2 linked regions of the Caenorhabditis elegans genome follow. The protein of the gene in region 2 interacts with the protein of the main gene of each other region in a pairwise test. Each region holds a gene or a part of one and is shown on either strand. Other genes may lie near its edges.

Evidence for each region. The genes of interacting proteins can lie anywhere in the genome.
Region 1: the proteins of pgp-14 (region 2) and thoc-2 interact in a two-hybrid assay, tested with the Caenorhabditis elegans proteins (one large-scale study listed by BioGRID).

The regions. Positions count from the first base shown.
Region 1 is NC_003281.10:6,366,212-6,374,056, reverse strand, and holds thoc-2 (THO complex subunit 2), read right to left. Parts: upstream 6,016-7,845; 5' UTR 6,012-6,015; coding exon 5,916-6,011; intron 5,868-5,915; coding exon 5,736-5,867; intron 5,535-5,735; coding exon 5,443-5,534; intron 5,397-5,442; coding exon 5,177-5,396; intron 4,957-5,176; coding exon 4,774-4,956; intron 4,724-4,773; coding exon 4,571-4,723; intron 4,523-4,570; coding exon 4,018-4,522; intron 3,790-4,017; coding exon 3,388-3,789; intron 3,075-3,387; coding exon 2,255-3,074; intron 2,207-2,254; coding exon 2,098-2,206; intron 2,056-2,097; coding exon 1,917-2,055; intron 1,869-1,916; coding exon 1,009-1,868; intron 954-1,008; coding exon 573-953; intron 507-572; coding exon 285-506; 3' UTR 153-284; downstream 1-152. Other genes in the region: C56G2.15 (N-acetyltransferase domain-containing protein), read left to right, coding at 6,235-6,309, 6,402-6,541, 6,726-6,963, 7,164-7,364.
Region 2 is NC_003284.9:12,744,203-12,751,539, reverse strand, and holds pgp-14 (P-glycoprotein 14), read left to right. Parts: upstream 1-1,959; 5' UTR 1,960-1,984; coding exon 1,985-2,053; intron 2,054-2,106; coding exon 2,107-2,316; intron 2,317-2,576; coding exon 2,577-2,935; intron 2,936-2,987; coding exon 2,988-3,159; intron 3,160-3,206; coding exon 3,207-4,453; intron 4,454-4,502; coding exon 4,503-4,926; intron 4,927-4,977; coding exon 4,978-6,279; intron 6,280-6,332; coding exon 6,333-6,533; 3' UTR 6,534-6,817; downstream 6,818-7,337. UniProt on the Caenorhabditis elegans protein: Contributes to the establishment of a polar lipid barrier to block small molecule passage into the pharyngeal cuticle. Probably exports polar lipids into the developing pharyngeal cuticle to protect against xenobiotic insult.

The sequences.
Region 1 (7,845 bases), on a different chromosome or scaffold from region 2:
TGTTCCCATAGATTGGAAGTCGTTCGGAAATTTGACGTTGTCTTTTGCTCACATTTAGCACTTGATCTTCGACTTTTGGATTGACTCTTCGAGCAAGCATTCTATATTCGAAATACTTCCATTGCTTTCACATTCCAAGAAGTTCAACGATCCAATGTCTTTAGATTTAATGCTAACAAAAAATAAAACGAATATTTAATAATCCATCAGGATACAATAGAAAACCTCGTAGACAACATAAACTGAGATACAATAATGAAAATCTGGGGATATGTGGTGAGAGCTCATCTAAATGTTCGATGCCCACGATCTCTTCCACTCTTTCCAGCATCACGTGCAGGCTCTGCTATTCTTGATGCCTTTGGAAGTTCTTCTTTTTTTTCTTTTCGATCATCTTTGCGATCTTTTCGAGAGGACGATGTTGATTTTGAAGGCTCCTCTAGATCAAACTCAATCGCTTTTCGAGAGCCTTTCTTGTCATCTTTCTTGGGAACTGGGTCGGGAAGCTGAAATAAATCACATTTTCGAAAGGAAAATTTTGAAAATAGCTTGAGAAAACGTTAATATCTTACCGCGGGTCCTGCCACTTCAAGCTTCTCATCGGACGGCTTGCTTTTTTGCTTCTGATCTTTGAGAATCTTTTGTTCTTTCTGGTTTTCTCCATTTTCTCGCTTCCTTTCCTTATCCTTTTCTCGTTCCTTATTATCCTTCTCCAACCGTTTCTCTTTTCCTGTTTCTTTGTCTTTCGATCGTTCTCTTCTTTTCTTACCTTCTCCTTTTTCAGATTCTGTGTCCTTCGGAGATTCTTTCTCATCTTTCTTTGAAGGTTCATCAGACCGTTTTAAGCGATCAACAATTCGAGTCTTCTTTGCAGGAGGGGGACTTGGAGTCTTCACTTCACCATCTTCAGTTGTTGGCTCTTTCTTTGATTCTTTTGATCCGTGGGATGATTTCTAAAATTATAATAGTTAGTTCAGTTCTGTGAATTTTAATAATTTATGTACTCACTCCAGGTCGCTTCTTTCTCTCTTTGTTATCTACTGTAGCTTTCTTCTCTGTTTCACTTCCATTCTGATGTACTTCATCATCTTTCACCACTTTCTCCGAACTCGTCGTCCCATTTTTCTTCGAATCTACTTTAATCTTCTTATCAACTGGTTCCCCATCAGCTTTATCTTTCTCATCTACCACTTTTTCTTTTTTCTTTGGTTTTTCAGCACCGACCGACACCTTCTTGTTGGGAACTGGGGCGTAATCCGAATTTTGAGCATAAATCTTCACAGTTCTCATCTTGAGCTTTCCAACATACGAGGCTGCTTTTAATGATAGATCGTCACGTTTTCCCTTCTCTCGATCCTTCAACTTGGTTACAGCTGTTTCCATTGTGGCGACTGCATGTGATATGACTGGAAATCCAGATGTCAACTTTGTCATCATAATCAATGAATTTCTGATAAGTACATAGTCAGCATCATCTTTTGTGAAGACTGTCTTAAACATGGCAGTAAATCGAATTTGCCATCTATAGCATAACTTTCGGAAAGTTTGATATTCAATTGCTTGTTTTGTGATCATTCCTGGAAATCCTGCACATTCCTTCTCGAAAACTTCTTTCTCCGAGTGCCATCTTTGAACAGTGCAGAGCAGAATTTCAAAGAAGCATGCCAGCGAGTTGGCTTCGTTCTCGGTGAGCCCCGCGATCAGAGGAATTATGTTCTCGAAGAGTCTGTCAATGATCAGAACCGATGGGAAGAATGGAGTCCGCATTTCGTGAAGCATCATGAAGAATTGACCACAGAACACTGCATCAAGTTCGGAGAATATGGCACGTGGCAGGAGGCATTGTTGAATGAGAGCTTCCAATACAGCTGGAAATATTGGAAAAGTATTAAAGCGGATTTCATGCATAAACTTACAATTATGGAATTGCTCATCAATCAACGAGTCTTTCTTGTTCAGAAGCCATACTTTACAACGTTCCACGTGCTCAATTTGCCTCTTCTGCTCTTCTCGAAGCTTACTCTCCAACTGTTTATCAGTTTTCTTAGCTTTTCCCTGAAATAAAAAATAGTAGATTATTTATAGATGAAAACTAACATGACTGTCTTCTCTTGACTGTTTCTTTAAAGCATCAAGTGTCCGTTCATATGCAGCTGTCGGAACTTCGATATCATACATTGTCAGCATCCAGAAAACAGCGAAGAATCTGAAAGAAAAATTTAGCAAACTGGGCGAAAATTTGATAAAAACTCACTTCACAGGTATATTCTCCTCCATGCCAGGTTCAGATGCTTTCAGCTCATCCATTAACATTTCCACTTGTGATTCCAACGCACTTGTAAACATTTCAGTCTTTTGCTGTGTATCCAAACGAGTCTTTTGTCCATCTTCAACAGCAGCTTTCGAGATTTTTTTAGCCGCATCATAGTGATCTGATATTCTTGAGAAGAAAATAGGTCTCGCCAGACACATTGTGGCTTCCATTCCAAGTGAATAATCAGATAACAATTCACGAACAGTTGGAACTCGTTTCGAAAAATCATCATTTTTCAGATAAACACTCAAAAATGAAACGAGTTGTTGAAATGTGTCACTACACTGATCAACCATTTTTCCAACAAGTTTCAATGGAAGAGTAGAGCTTTCATTGTAGACAATATGCTCTTTTTGTTGAGCAACTGAAATTGCCAATCCAACAGCCAAATCTCCTTTCAGAAGTGCATCACGTAGACGTTGAGCAGCTTTTCTATTCTTTGTTGCCGTTGAATATCCACCAGCTTCCTGTTTCAACAAGTCTCCACCTCCAAGTGCTTCAATTTGTTCTTTCGTTGCTCCACTGATACTCTCGATCCATGACATATTCTGGATAATTTCTCGAAGAAGAAGCATATCGTAACTTTTGCAAAGTTTCAATTGATTTAGCACATAGTCTAGCATTCCGTTCAGTTCGAGTGGATATCTTCGATAGAGAGATCCAACCAGTGTTCCAAGAGCTTGCAGCCAAGGAGAGATGGTAGCATCAGTGGATTTGAGAGCTTGTTTCGATGGATCAGCCAATTGGGAGATGATGCAATCTGGAATAAATGGAAAACCTTCAAATGAGAAATATTTAAAATAGATTTGAAAAAGTTTGACTTGTTTACAAGTGAATGAAAAAAACGAGAATTTTTTCACATAGCTAACTGAAAGACTCAAAAATTTAAAATGTATCAATTTTTCCATAAAATTTTTTTATGAATTTATATGTTAAAATCTTAAAATTTCTCAAAAAAAAACGTTCGAAATTTACAAAACCTTTCAGTTTTCGTGGTTTTAACAAAATAATTTTTTGGACGTTTTTTCTCGTTTTCTAAAAAAAATTGTTTTAAATTTTGTTTGAAAACTTACAAGTGAGAACATCAAATTCAAGACTTGTCAAATATCTCAAACTATCCACAACAGGTCCAATGAAATTATCAAAAGTTTGCACTTGACTGAGGAGATATGAGAGTACTGTAGATGGATGTATATGACACAATTTTCCCAATTGTCTGCCCATCATCTTTACAGTTTCCTTCGAAAGACGCTTCAGAACATATTTTGTTCGTCCATGAATTTTCCCCTTCATTATATGCATTTCTGGATGTCTTGAAGTTTCAAGATTCCATTTTGAATACATCCAATATCTCCAAGAATACGGGAAAAGCTCAAGGAGCTGCCAAATCTCTTCACTAAGTGCAACATTTGTTTCGGACAGTGTGAGAGATGGTAGAAGACATTCGGAGACGACTTCCACGAAATTTTGATTTACTGAAATAATGATATTTAATTTTGAAAATGGTTGTTTTTTTTTCTTCAAAAATACGGTGCTCGATCTCGAAGTGACAGATTTACATAAATTTTAAAAAAGTACAAAAGTACAAGGAGTTCTGTAGATACGAACTAATTTTTCCTAGTTTTTATCGTTTTTTCAAAATGTTTTGTTAACCTTAATATCGGGGCGAAAATCGCAAAATTTCACATTTGAAAAAAACCTACGTTTATCATCCTTCGGTAGCAGATCCTTGTCAACTTTTCGGTAGTAGGCAGTCAAAAGTCGAACAATTTTGATATTTGTTGAAGCACGAAAGGCTATTCTAGGTCCCAAATAGGCAAGTACACTTGACAATTTTCCAAGATCTTCCCAACTTTCGATTGGTCTTAATCCATTTCCCATATCATCTAACACTGGTTTCGTCGATTTTATCAAATCTCCAAACAAGTTCAGCGAACAATTTTTCTTGTAAAAATCGTTAATTGATTTCTCAATTATTTTGCAAAGAGCTCTACAGAGTCGTGGACTAGCTTGAACTGCATAGTATTCTGGGAGACGATCAATGAGCATTTGAGCTTGTTTCCAGTTTCCACTTTCTAATAATGCACACGTTAAACCAAGCTTCTGATTTGATGAGAGAACATATTCCTCATTAAACCCTTCAGATAATTTTATATCCTCGTCTTCTTGAAGTTGGATTACTGTAGTGAAGGAAATCGTTTGCGTTGTCTGAAATGTTTTTAAAAATTAGATAAATATTCAATTTTCCGACCTAACCGCATTTCCACCTATTCCATTTTCATCGAAACCTCTTGAATCCATAATTGGCATTGAAGCTGTAGAAATTGTTTCTGCTTTTGATGCTCTTTCTTGTGCATTCTGCATTCTTGAACGGTGCCCTTCTTTAATTGCTTCGGCTTTTGGAATCATCTATAAATATTAATTAATAATTTCGAATAATTTAAAACGGGACTCCTCACATATCCTAAAATCTTCATCATATCGATCATTTCATGTTGAATGAGCGAAGCTGTCAGAACGTACAACGAATATGGCGTTTTCTTCTTTTTATCCGATTGATAGAATGTGAATTTGAAGCCCAGAAGTGCACACAGATAGTCACGGACCACGTCAATTTCTTTGAGAAGTGCAATGAAAAGGAGCTGAAATTAAAAATAAATATTTTTAAAATACAAATGAGCTGGATTCGTTTCAAGATTTCTTAATCTCATCATTTGAATTTCCAATTGTTTTATTTGTAAAGGATAAACGGAAAAGTTATAAATTCCAATTTTTCTCTATTGTTGAACTTTCAAATAAGCTCCGCCCACATCATGGTTGACCACCAAAACATCATGAATTTATGCAGATTCTTTATTTTACCTTCTGCCTCGGGAAATTCTCGAAAACTTCCAATATAACGTCAGTGACACGATTTGGATCCAAATTGAACTGTCCAATTAATGAAAGTACTCGATGCTTCAGAATCTTCGCATGTTCATTCTCATTCGCTGAGCTCTCGGCTGCTTCCATAAGCTCTGTGACAAGTTTTGAGTAACCTTCAGACTCTTCTCGAAATAAGTTGAATTTGGCCTGTTTGAAACTGAAGAAAAATGAGTTTTTGCAGAAATTGAATGAATTTAACTTACTAGACTTTTGTTTTCAACCTAATTAGTGCCTTGCTGTGATCATCTTTTTTGAAACAATCCAGCTCGAGGCGGAGGATTTCTTCGGGGATTATCTGAAAAAAATTTGGTATTTTTACAGGAAATTTCCAGTTAAAATCTCATTTCTTTGTTAAACAATTTTGGATTAAGTTAGAATATTAGTTTTTTTCAATCCTGAAACTACAGGTTAATTTTATTTTCCGCCAATAATACTATCTTCCATATAAATAAGCCTTTTTTGAACCTTGAGCTTTAAAAGTTGAAAGTTTTATTACCGTGTTAGTGAGTAGATTCACAAAGGATTCAAAATTCTCTTTGGAAGTGCTCGCGTTGTCAGCGAACTCGCTCTCCGGCTCGGTGAGCACTAACACGTCGATCAGCTCCGAACTGATGGCATCTCGATCTTTCTGAAATTAATGATTTCTAATTTGTTCAAGATTTTAAATGAACGAAACCTTCTCTGTGAGTATCCTTTCATAAGCCTTCATCGGTGTGATTTTCATGTGAACAATATCGAGACATAACTGGGTTAATGTTTCGAAATCGTTCATTTCTCTGTAATTATAATAATTCAATCAGAAACTAAAAAAAGAACATTAAAAGGAAATATGAGATTTCAAAAATTAAACTTTTTAAAGCGAGTTGGCACTTTGCCAGCCGAGGCAAACAAGAGTGAGAACGCGTGGACGGGAAATCTAGAGTTGAGATTTCTAGGCCATCGAGTGTGATGAGGGCATCTGAGCTCAGAAACATAACCAATTATCGGGTATTAGGATGCCGGACTTATTTTTTGTTACGCTTTATGATAGGCAGGATCTTTTGAAGGAGAGTATGACATTTTTGAATTCGGTGAGTTGTATTCTAGAGTGGTTTTCTAAATGTATTTTTTCTTTGGTAAAATAAATAGCTATATTCATAATTTTGAACTTTTCTAATTCCAGGAATGGCCCAGAAGCGATGGATCTCGTGAGCATTCACAGAAAAAATCATGCCGTCAGTCCCCTCCAATGTCGTTTTTGTTGCTCAATAAGGAGAATGACGAGATACTAGGCCACTCAAGAATCACACATCTTCCAAATCGGTGAGTAATTGGAATAAAACAATAAAAATTTGAAACTTTCGGATTATATTTCAACAATTAGAAAATTTGATAACTCACTAAAATTTCAGGAAAAAATATTTAAAAAGTTAAAAAATTTTAGCCTGAAAATAAAGGAAGCTATCATAATTCTCAAACCATTCTCCCAAAATTTGTTAATTTTCAGTGACCATGCCTTATGGATTGAGTCAGTGATGATCAAGAAGGATCAACGTGGCCTTGGACTCGGGAAATTCTTAATGAAATCCACAGAAAAATGGATGACGGAAAAAGGTTTCAATGAAGCATATCTCTCAACTGATGATCAATGTCGATTTTATGAATCTCTTGGTTATGAGAAATGCGATCCGATTGTACACTCGACAACAGCCACTTGCATCTTTCCAGCCATGAATCATTTTCAGGTAAATAGGCTTTTGAAGTTTTCAGAAATACTAAAAAATCATGTTTCTTGAAAATTCACAAAACTATACTCAGATCAATCTGATTTAGTTCGGAAATTTTGGAGATCCATCTTCAGATTCAGTCTAGAAAAATTGAATTCCTTAGTAGAAAATGCACAATTATTCAGATTTTTCTATAATTTATATCATGTTAATTTCAGAACGCGGCCGCATCCAACCCGTCCTTCCTATCAAAGATCGCACAGCCTTCAGCCTCGTCAACAGTCTCAGCTTCTGCTCCACCACCACCACCACCGCCTCCGATGGCTCCAAAAATGGTCACCAGATCCACGTCCCCGATTGTGGACGTCAACACGATTGATCACCAGTACATGAGAAAATGGTTAAAACCAACTGAATAATATATTGAGAAAAGAATACGCAAATATGAAATAAGAATTTCTACTTTTTATTGATTTTCCGCATAATGTAAAGTAATTTTAAGAATTACAAGAATAAAATAATTGAATGAGAGGGCGTGGGTGTGTTTTCTTAAAAACAACAACGAGTGAAGGGGGAATTACAGAAAAAAAGAAATAAAAAATGGGATAGAGATGGGGGTGATAGGTGGAGATGAGGGGATATGAAAGGTAGAAGAACCTGGTAAAATGGTCTGACGGGGCTCAAAGGGAAATGGGGCTCAAAACCAAAAAAGAATAAAAAGAAATTACCTAAATGAGAGAAGAAAGGCTACTAGACGATCTGTGTTTGTTGTGGGGAGAGGAGGCATGGGAGATAGTGGATAAAAACGATGATGAAGCTAACAAAAATAAAAACGAGTTGATAGAAAAAATAATGGGTCGCCTATTGCGAAAACGGTTCAGATTGGGAAAACAACAGTAG
Region 2 (7,337 bases):
TACTTGTATTACAATTGCTCATCGGTTGTCTTCAATTCAAAATTCTGACGTTATTGTATATATTGAAAATGGACGGGTGCAAGAAGCTGGAAATCATAAGCAACTGATGAGCAAGAAGGGAAAATACTATGAGCTGATTCAGAAGCAAGACTTGGGAATATAAAAGTCTAGTTTAAAAATAAGTCGTTTTTTTCTTTTAACAGATATGACAACTTAGATTTTATTACAACTTGCTCATTGAAGAAATAATAAAATGATTTACATATTTTTGTAACTTAACACCGAAAGAAGCAATCAGCATCAAAGATAAAATCACTCAACACAAAATTCTGTGACCTGTACTGCGACTGATCTTTATTTTTAGCGAGAGCGATGCACCCTCACAACTAGATCACTGATTCGGTGGAATTCCCAATCAACAGAGAGCAAGGTGCCAAACCGTTGTTCTTTCTTGTCTTGTAAATCAATATTAAAACACTATTTTCGCAGTTTTTGCGACTTTCAATGTTGACATTTGCACAATGGCAGAGAAAAGATGTAGTAAATGTAGTTGGCGTAGTCCGACTGTACTTGAAGAAAAAAAGCACTTGTTGATACACAAGGGAAAATCATAATCTTTGCGCGAACACTTTCGGAAGAAAAATTTCAGGGTGGTCTGGTTAAACTTGATCGTTTGGAACGGCATTTTGACGACAAAATACAAGCAAAATGATTAGAAAAATGAACGGTTAATCCCTCTTTAATTTAAAAAAAAATGCATAGGACTGAAATAAAAAATTAAATTTTGGTCGTTAATTTCTAGAATGAGATTATATGGTATTAAAAAGCTATGAAAAGCTAGTGAAAAGCTGAGAAGAATTGTATGGTTTTAATACAATTAGAAACCGCGAGCTTGCGCAAAACTGTGAAATGTTGCAAAATATTACAAACCAATTTTTTAAAATACCCGCTGAAAATAAAAATTCTACAAATTCTTAAAGTTGAAAATCACAGAACAATTAAATACCTAAAGAAAAATAGTGAAATATTTCTCCAATATTTTTATTTAGAAAGAATATGCATTTTGTTCTACTTTTTACAATTAAAAAAAAACAAATGCTTCGCTATTATTTGGAGTTAAAATGATATCAACTTTCATGGCCACAGAAAGAACTTCATACTTTTGAGAAATGAATAGAGTCCGCAATTTCCAACACTACACCTTCTGTATACAATAGTCTTAAAACTCTGAACCTACATTACTGGGAGCTGTTTTGAAACTGTGAAAAAACAACGACTCTTAGGTTTTCCGAAAGCCGACATATTCCGCAACTTGTCACCAATTATCACTTCCATAGAGATGACAATTGGTCTAAGATTCGAAACTAGTCTACCTCATTGCCCTTGTCTCTTGTCTGTTAGCCGAATCTTCCATACTCCGATTAGTTTGCGCACAAACCACACCTCACTGCGTCTCCACGTGAACTCGGTACTTCCTCGTGGCGAACAATCCTACAGTAAGCCGCAGAGAAACATGGCCATGCCGTGTGCTCATTTCACAAGTAAAATTTTGGTACATATGCTCAGCACCTTTTTGGCAAATAAACGTCTTGTGCGACTCCTCCCACTACGAATCCTCTACCATCAGAGTGGTACTTAAGGAACGGGTGCCAAATGAGAAAGTACCATTGTTTCGAATCACACAACATTTCTTTTTTCGTTTTCTTTAGTTTAGACCCCATTTTATTTGAAACCTTCTTGTTACTGATTCATGCTTGAATTATATATATTATTACGATTTAGTACTGCATCTTATTAGTAATTCAATTCCAATATTGTTTGTTTTGCTTACTGAACGTTTGAGCACACGGCATAATTTGGCACAGAACCTTAAAATCTTTTATTTAATCTATGTAGATACCCACTTTTTTGCTCATTTTTCCAATCGCTCAATTTTTCATCATCAAACTTCTTTTTCAGAATTTCGATGTACGAATAATTAAACATGGCCCCTAAAGACGACCCCGATAATCGAGGTTTCGACGATCAGCGTCGACCCTCACAGAGGAGTACGGTAAGTCTCATCAAGCCAGCTGATCTTAAAACATATCATTACACTTGTTCCAGGTGCTAGCGATACCAGCACTGGCTGTAAACGACCCAAAGTCTGATCCAAAAATTGCGAGCGACCTACCCGCAAATTACGTAGACGATGATGATGACGCCCCAAAGATGTATACCCCTTCGCTTTTGGAAAAAATATTGAACTACGCGTTGTGTAGAGGTGATATTGCTAATCAACAACTTGAAGCTCAACCAGTGTCTATTCCTGGATTGGTAAGTTGAACTTATTTTTGATATTTGCGTGCCATGCTCTATTACCTAAATTCTTGCAATATTTGTACAAGTATCAAAAAGAAACATTCTCCCCCCGTTTGCCACAAGTGCGCGAAACACAAATACTACTAGGGCACAGTAGTTTTGTGCTTCTTGGTTTGTTTAAGAAAAGGGAGCACAAATAGGTGAGCGCCGTTTGAACACATCATTGAGATCAATGTAGTTTTAGGAATTAAAACATCAAACTTGTTTATTTGCAGTTCCGATATGGAAAGAAGTTTGATTACCTACTCCTGTTCATTGGAACCATTTGTGCAATTATCTCCGGAGTTTCACAACCTATATTGGCTCTTGTCAGTGGTCGCGTCACTAATGCCCTTCTTGTCTATCCACCAACAAGTAAACAATTCCGGAACAAAGCTAACGAAAACGTCTACATCTTCCTTGGAATTGGTATTTTCATCTCGATCACTAACTTCATTCAGTACATGTGCTTCCAACATTGCTGCACAAGAGTGATGGCTCAGATGAGACATCGATTTGTGTACTCTGTACTTAGACAAAATGCAGGATGGTTTGATAAGAACCATTCTGGAACAATCACGACCAAATTGAACGAGTAAGTTGCTTATACTCATAATTGGGCAAGACTAACTTCTCTCAATTTTCAGCAGTATGGAAAGAATTCGTGAAGGTATCGGAGATAAGCTTGGAGTGCTCCTCAGAGGATTTGCTATGCTTATCGCTGCCATCGTCGTTGCTTACATCTACGAGTGGAGACTCGCTTCAATGATGCTTGGAGTTGCTCCAACTTGTTGTATTTGCATGTCACTTCTTGCCAGAGTAAGTTGTCAGAGAGAATTACGCAGTCGTTAACATAAAGTTTTCAGCAAATGACTTCAACTACAATCAAAGAACTTATTGGAGTTGGAAAAGCTGGTTCTATCGCTGAAGAGTCTCTGATGGGAGTAAGAACGGTGCAAGCTTTCAACGGACAAGAGGAAATGGTTGGAAGATACGAAGCTGAACTTGAGAAAGGAAGAAAATTCGCCGTGTGGAAGGGATTCTGGAGTGGATTCTTTGGAGGGCTCTTCTTCTTCTGGCTCTTCTCCTTCTTGGGTTGTGGTATGCTTTACGGAGCTTACCTTCTCAAAGTCGGAATCATCACAACACCTGGAGATGTATTCATTGTAGTCATGTCTATGCTTCTCGGTGCATATTTCCTTGGTCTCATCTCTCCACATATGATGGTGCTTCTAAACGCAAGAGTGTCTGCAGCTTCTATCTATCAAACTATTGATCGTGTTCCAAAGATTGATCCATACTCAAAGGCTGGAAAACGACTTCAAAACGTGGTAGGAAGAGTGAAATTCGAAAATGTTCACTTCCGTTACCCAAGTCGCAAAGACGCAAAGATTCTTAATGGCCTCAATTTAGTTGTTGAACCAGGAACGTCTGTTGCTTTGGTAGGACACTCCGGATGTGGTAAATCTACATCCGTTGGCCTTCTCACTCGTCTCTATGAGCCAGAAGCTGGAAATGTGACCATTGATGGAACTGATGTCCGAGAGCTGAATATTGAGTGGCTCAGAAATACAGTAGGAATAGTTCAACAAGAGCCAATTCTTTTCAACGACACTATTCACAACAATTTGTTGATTGGAAACCCTGGATCTACTCGTGAAACTATGATTGAAGTCTGCAAGATGGCTAATGCTCATGATTTCATTGAGAAAATGCCAAAGGGATACGACACCTTAATTGGAGACGGTGGTGTTCAACTATCAGGAGGACAAAAGCAACGTGTTGCTATTGCTAGAACTCTTATTCGTGATCCAAAGGTCTTACTTCTCGATGAAGCCACATCTGCTCTCGATGCTCAGAGTGAAAGTATTGTACAATCAGCTTTGAATAACGCATCGAAAGGTAGAACAACCATCATGATTGCTCACAGACTATCAACAATTCGTGAAGCTGATAAGATTGTCTTCTTCGAAAAAGGTGTTATTGTTGAAGCTGGAAATCATGAAGAACTTGTGCGCCTCGGAGGAAGATACTTTGATTTAGTGAAGGCCCAACAATTCAAGGCTGATCCAGAAGCTACTGAAGAGTTTGAAGAGGAAGAAATTGATTTAGAGTAAGTTGATTCTAACAAAACTTGCAATTTGCCTATTAATAAATTTCAGTGACACTAGTAGGAGTTCACGCCGTTCTTCGATGACAAGTGCACGATCTGGCTCAGAAGCATTCAGAAGAGGAAACTCTCTCAATGACTCTTTCTCGGGATCAAAAAGATCTGCCCAAGCAGATGCTGAAAATAGCGCGTTTGCCGCTAACGAAGCTGCTATCATGGCTGAAGATGGACAGATCACAGCCGGATATCTGGACATTTTCAAGAACGCAAAAGGAAACTATTTATACATGTTCCTTGGAACTGTTTTTGCTCTAATCAGAGGTCTTGAATTGCCTGCTTTAGCACTGATTTTCGGATGGGTTTTCGAAGGTTTCACATTTGTACCTTATGGAGGAAGAATGATGCACAGAATGGCTATGGCTGTTATTGCATTTGCTTCCGTCGGTGTCGGAGTTTGGTTTTCTCAACTTGCTAGTGTAAGTTATTTCAAAAGAATATTATGCATCTCAAATTTTCAATACTTTTAGTCAGTCTTGTTTGCTGTTGTTTCGGAAAACTTATCAATGAGATTCCGCGTCCAATCATTCCGAAATCTTCTCTACCAAGATGCTTCATACTTCGATAATCCAGCTCATGCCCCAGGAAAGCTGATCACTCGGCTTGCATCTGACGCACCAAATATCAAAGCTGTCGTGGATGCTCGTATGCTTCAAGTCATTTATGCACTTGCTGCTATTATTGCAAACATTGCGATTGCGTTTATCTACTGCTGGCAAATAGGAATACTCGGAACATCTCTCATCCTCCTTCTTGCGTTTGTCATGATCGGGCTTGCTTACAAGATTTCTCTCATGAACGTCGAACAAATCCAAAATGATGATGCAGGAAGAATTGCGATTGAAATCATTGAAAATGTGAAAACTATTCAACTGCTCACAAGGTGTGAGCTTTTCTTTGATCACTACCAAACATCATCCAAGCAACAAAAGAGATCTGAACTGAAGAAGGGAATGATTGAAGCCATCAATTACAGTCTAACTCAATCTTTCATGTACTTCATGATGTGTTTTACATATGCTGTTGGTATCAGAATTATTTATCAAGGAGACAAATCTTCCGATGACACTTTCAAGGGAATCATTGCAATGATGTTGGGTGCCGTTGCAGTCATGAATTCGGCACAATACTTCCCAGAATTTGTAAAGGCTAAAACTGCAGCTGGAATGTTGTTCAACATTATCTACAGAAAACCTAGAACAGGAGACTTAATGGAAGGAGATCGCCCTGAAATTAGAGGAAACATTCTCTTTGAAAATGTCAAATTCTCGTATCCACAACGACCATTGCAACCAATTATGAAAGGACTTCAATGGACAGCACTTCGCGGACAAACTGTTGCTCTTGTCGGGCCATCCGGATCCGGTAAAAGTACGAACATTGGTATGCTCGAACGATTCTACGATGTTACTGGCGGAGCACTTCGAATTGATGGACAAGACATTCGAAAATTGTCACTGTTCCATCTCAGAACACAAATGGCGCTGGTCGGCCAAGAGCCTCGTCTTTTCGCAGGAACCATCCGCGAGAACGTGTGCCTTGGGTTGAAGGATGTGCCACTTGAAAAGATCAATCAAGCCTTAGAACTTGCCAATGCTAACAGATTCCTTGCCAACTTGCCAGCCGGAATTGACACAGATGTAGGAGAAAAAGGAGGACAATTGTCGGGAGGTCAGAAACAGAGAATTGCAATTGCCAGAGCTTTGGTCCGAGACCCCAAAATTCTGCTTCTGGATGAAGCCACGTCAGCTTTGGATTCGGAATCCGAAAGGGTATGTTGAAAATGAAACGCTATCTCTTAATAATTATGATCGTTTTCTTTCAGGCTGTACAAGAGGCATTAGATCGTGCCCGAGAAGGTCGTACGTGTATCACAATTGCCCATCGTTTGTCGTCCATTCAGAACTCTGACCTTATTGTGTACATCGATAAGGGCAAGGTGCAGGAAGCTGGCAACCACACGCAGTTGATGCATCAAAAGGGCAGATACTACAAGCTCATCAAGAAACAAGATCTTGCTGTTTAACTCTGCAAATTGCCTTTCAATTCCGAATTATCCTGTAAATTTTGATCACTTCCACACTCTTACCAGTAATTACTTGTTCCCTTTGAAACTGTTTTTATTGTGACTTTTCATTGCTTTGTTTTCACATTTCTCAAAAAATTTTTCCGTCATTTAGAAAACTGTTCCCACGTTGTTTTGAAGCAGTTTTTCTATTAACCGGGTCTGTTCACATTGCTACTTTTATTTTCAGTAGGTACTCATTAGCTAGTCGCTTTTTCAATTTTCGAATAAAAAAATGTAAGAATTGAAAGTGCACTGTGTTATTTACAACAGAAGAAAATTACAGTTGGCGCAATTAGCTCCCACACACACACACTTATGGGGTTGTTTATTACGGGACCATGAGATCATGAGAATGCCTACTTTTCATGGTCCCGTAATATGTGATGTTGAAATTTACAAAAATGTATTTTAATACATTTTCCCCTAGTCATGTCTGTAGAAAAATGTAAAAAATACATCGATTTTTCTATTTTTCTACATTTTTCGACACATTTTCTGTATTTTTCGACATCGGCTGCCAAGTTGGCAGTGTCAACCCACTTCTCATGCTGAAAGGCGCAAAGAGAAGTGTCCTCGCAGGGTGGTACAAAAAAGTCAACAAATGCGATCTAGAAAATTAGGCAAAATTCGAGATTTCAGCTAAAATCGGTATAATTTTTTCAAAATTTTGACCCGTCATGAAAAATTTTTGAGAAGCTTCATTACGAAAAAAAAAACGCTCATTTGAGCTCATTTTGGGTCTATGTGTTCAAAATCGTCCGA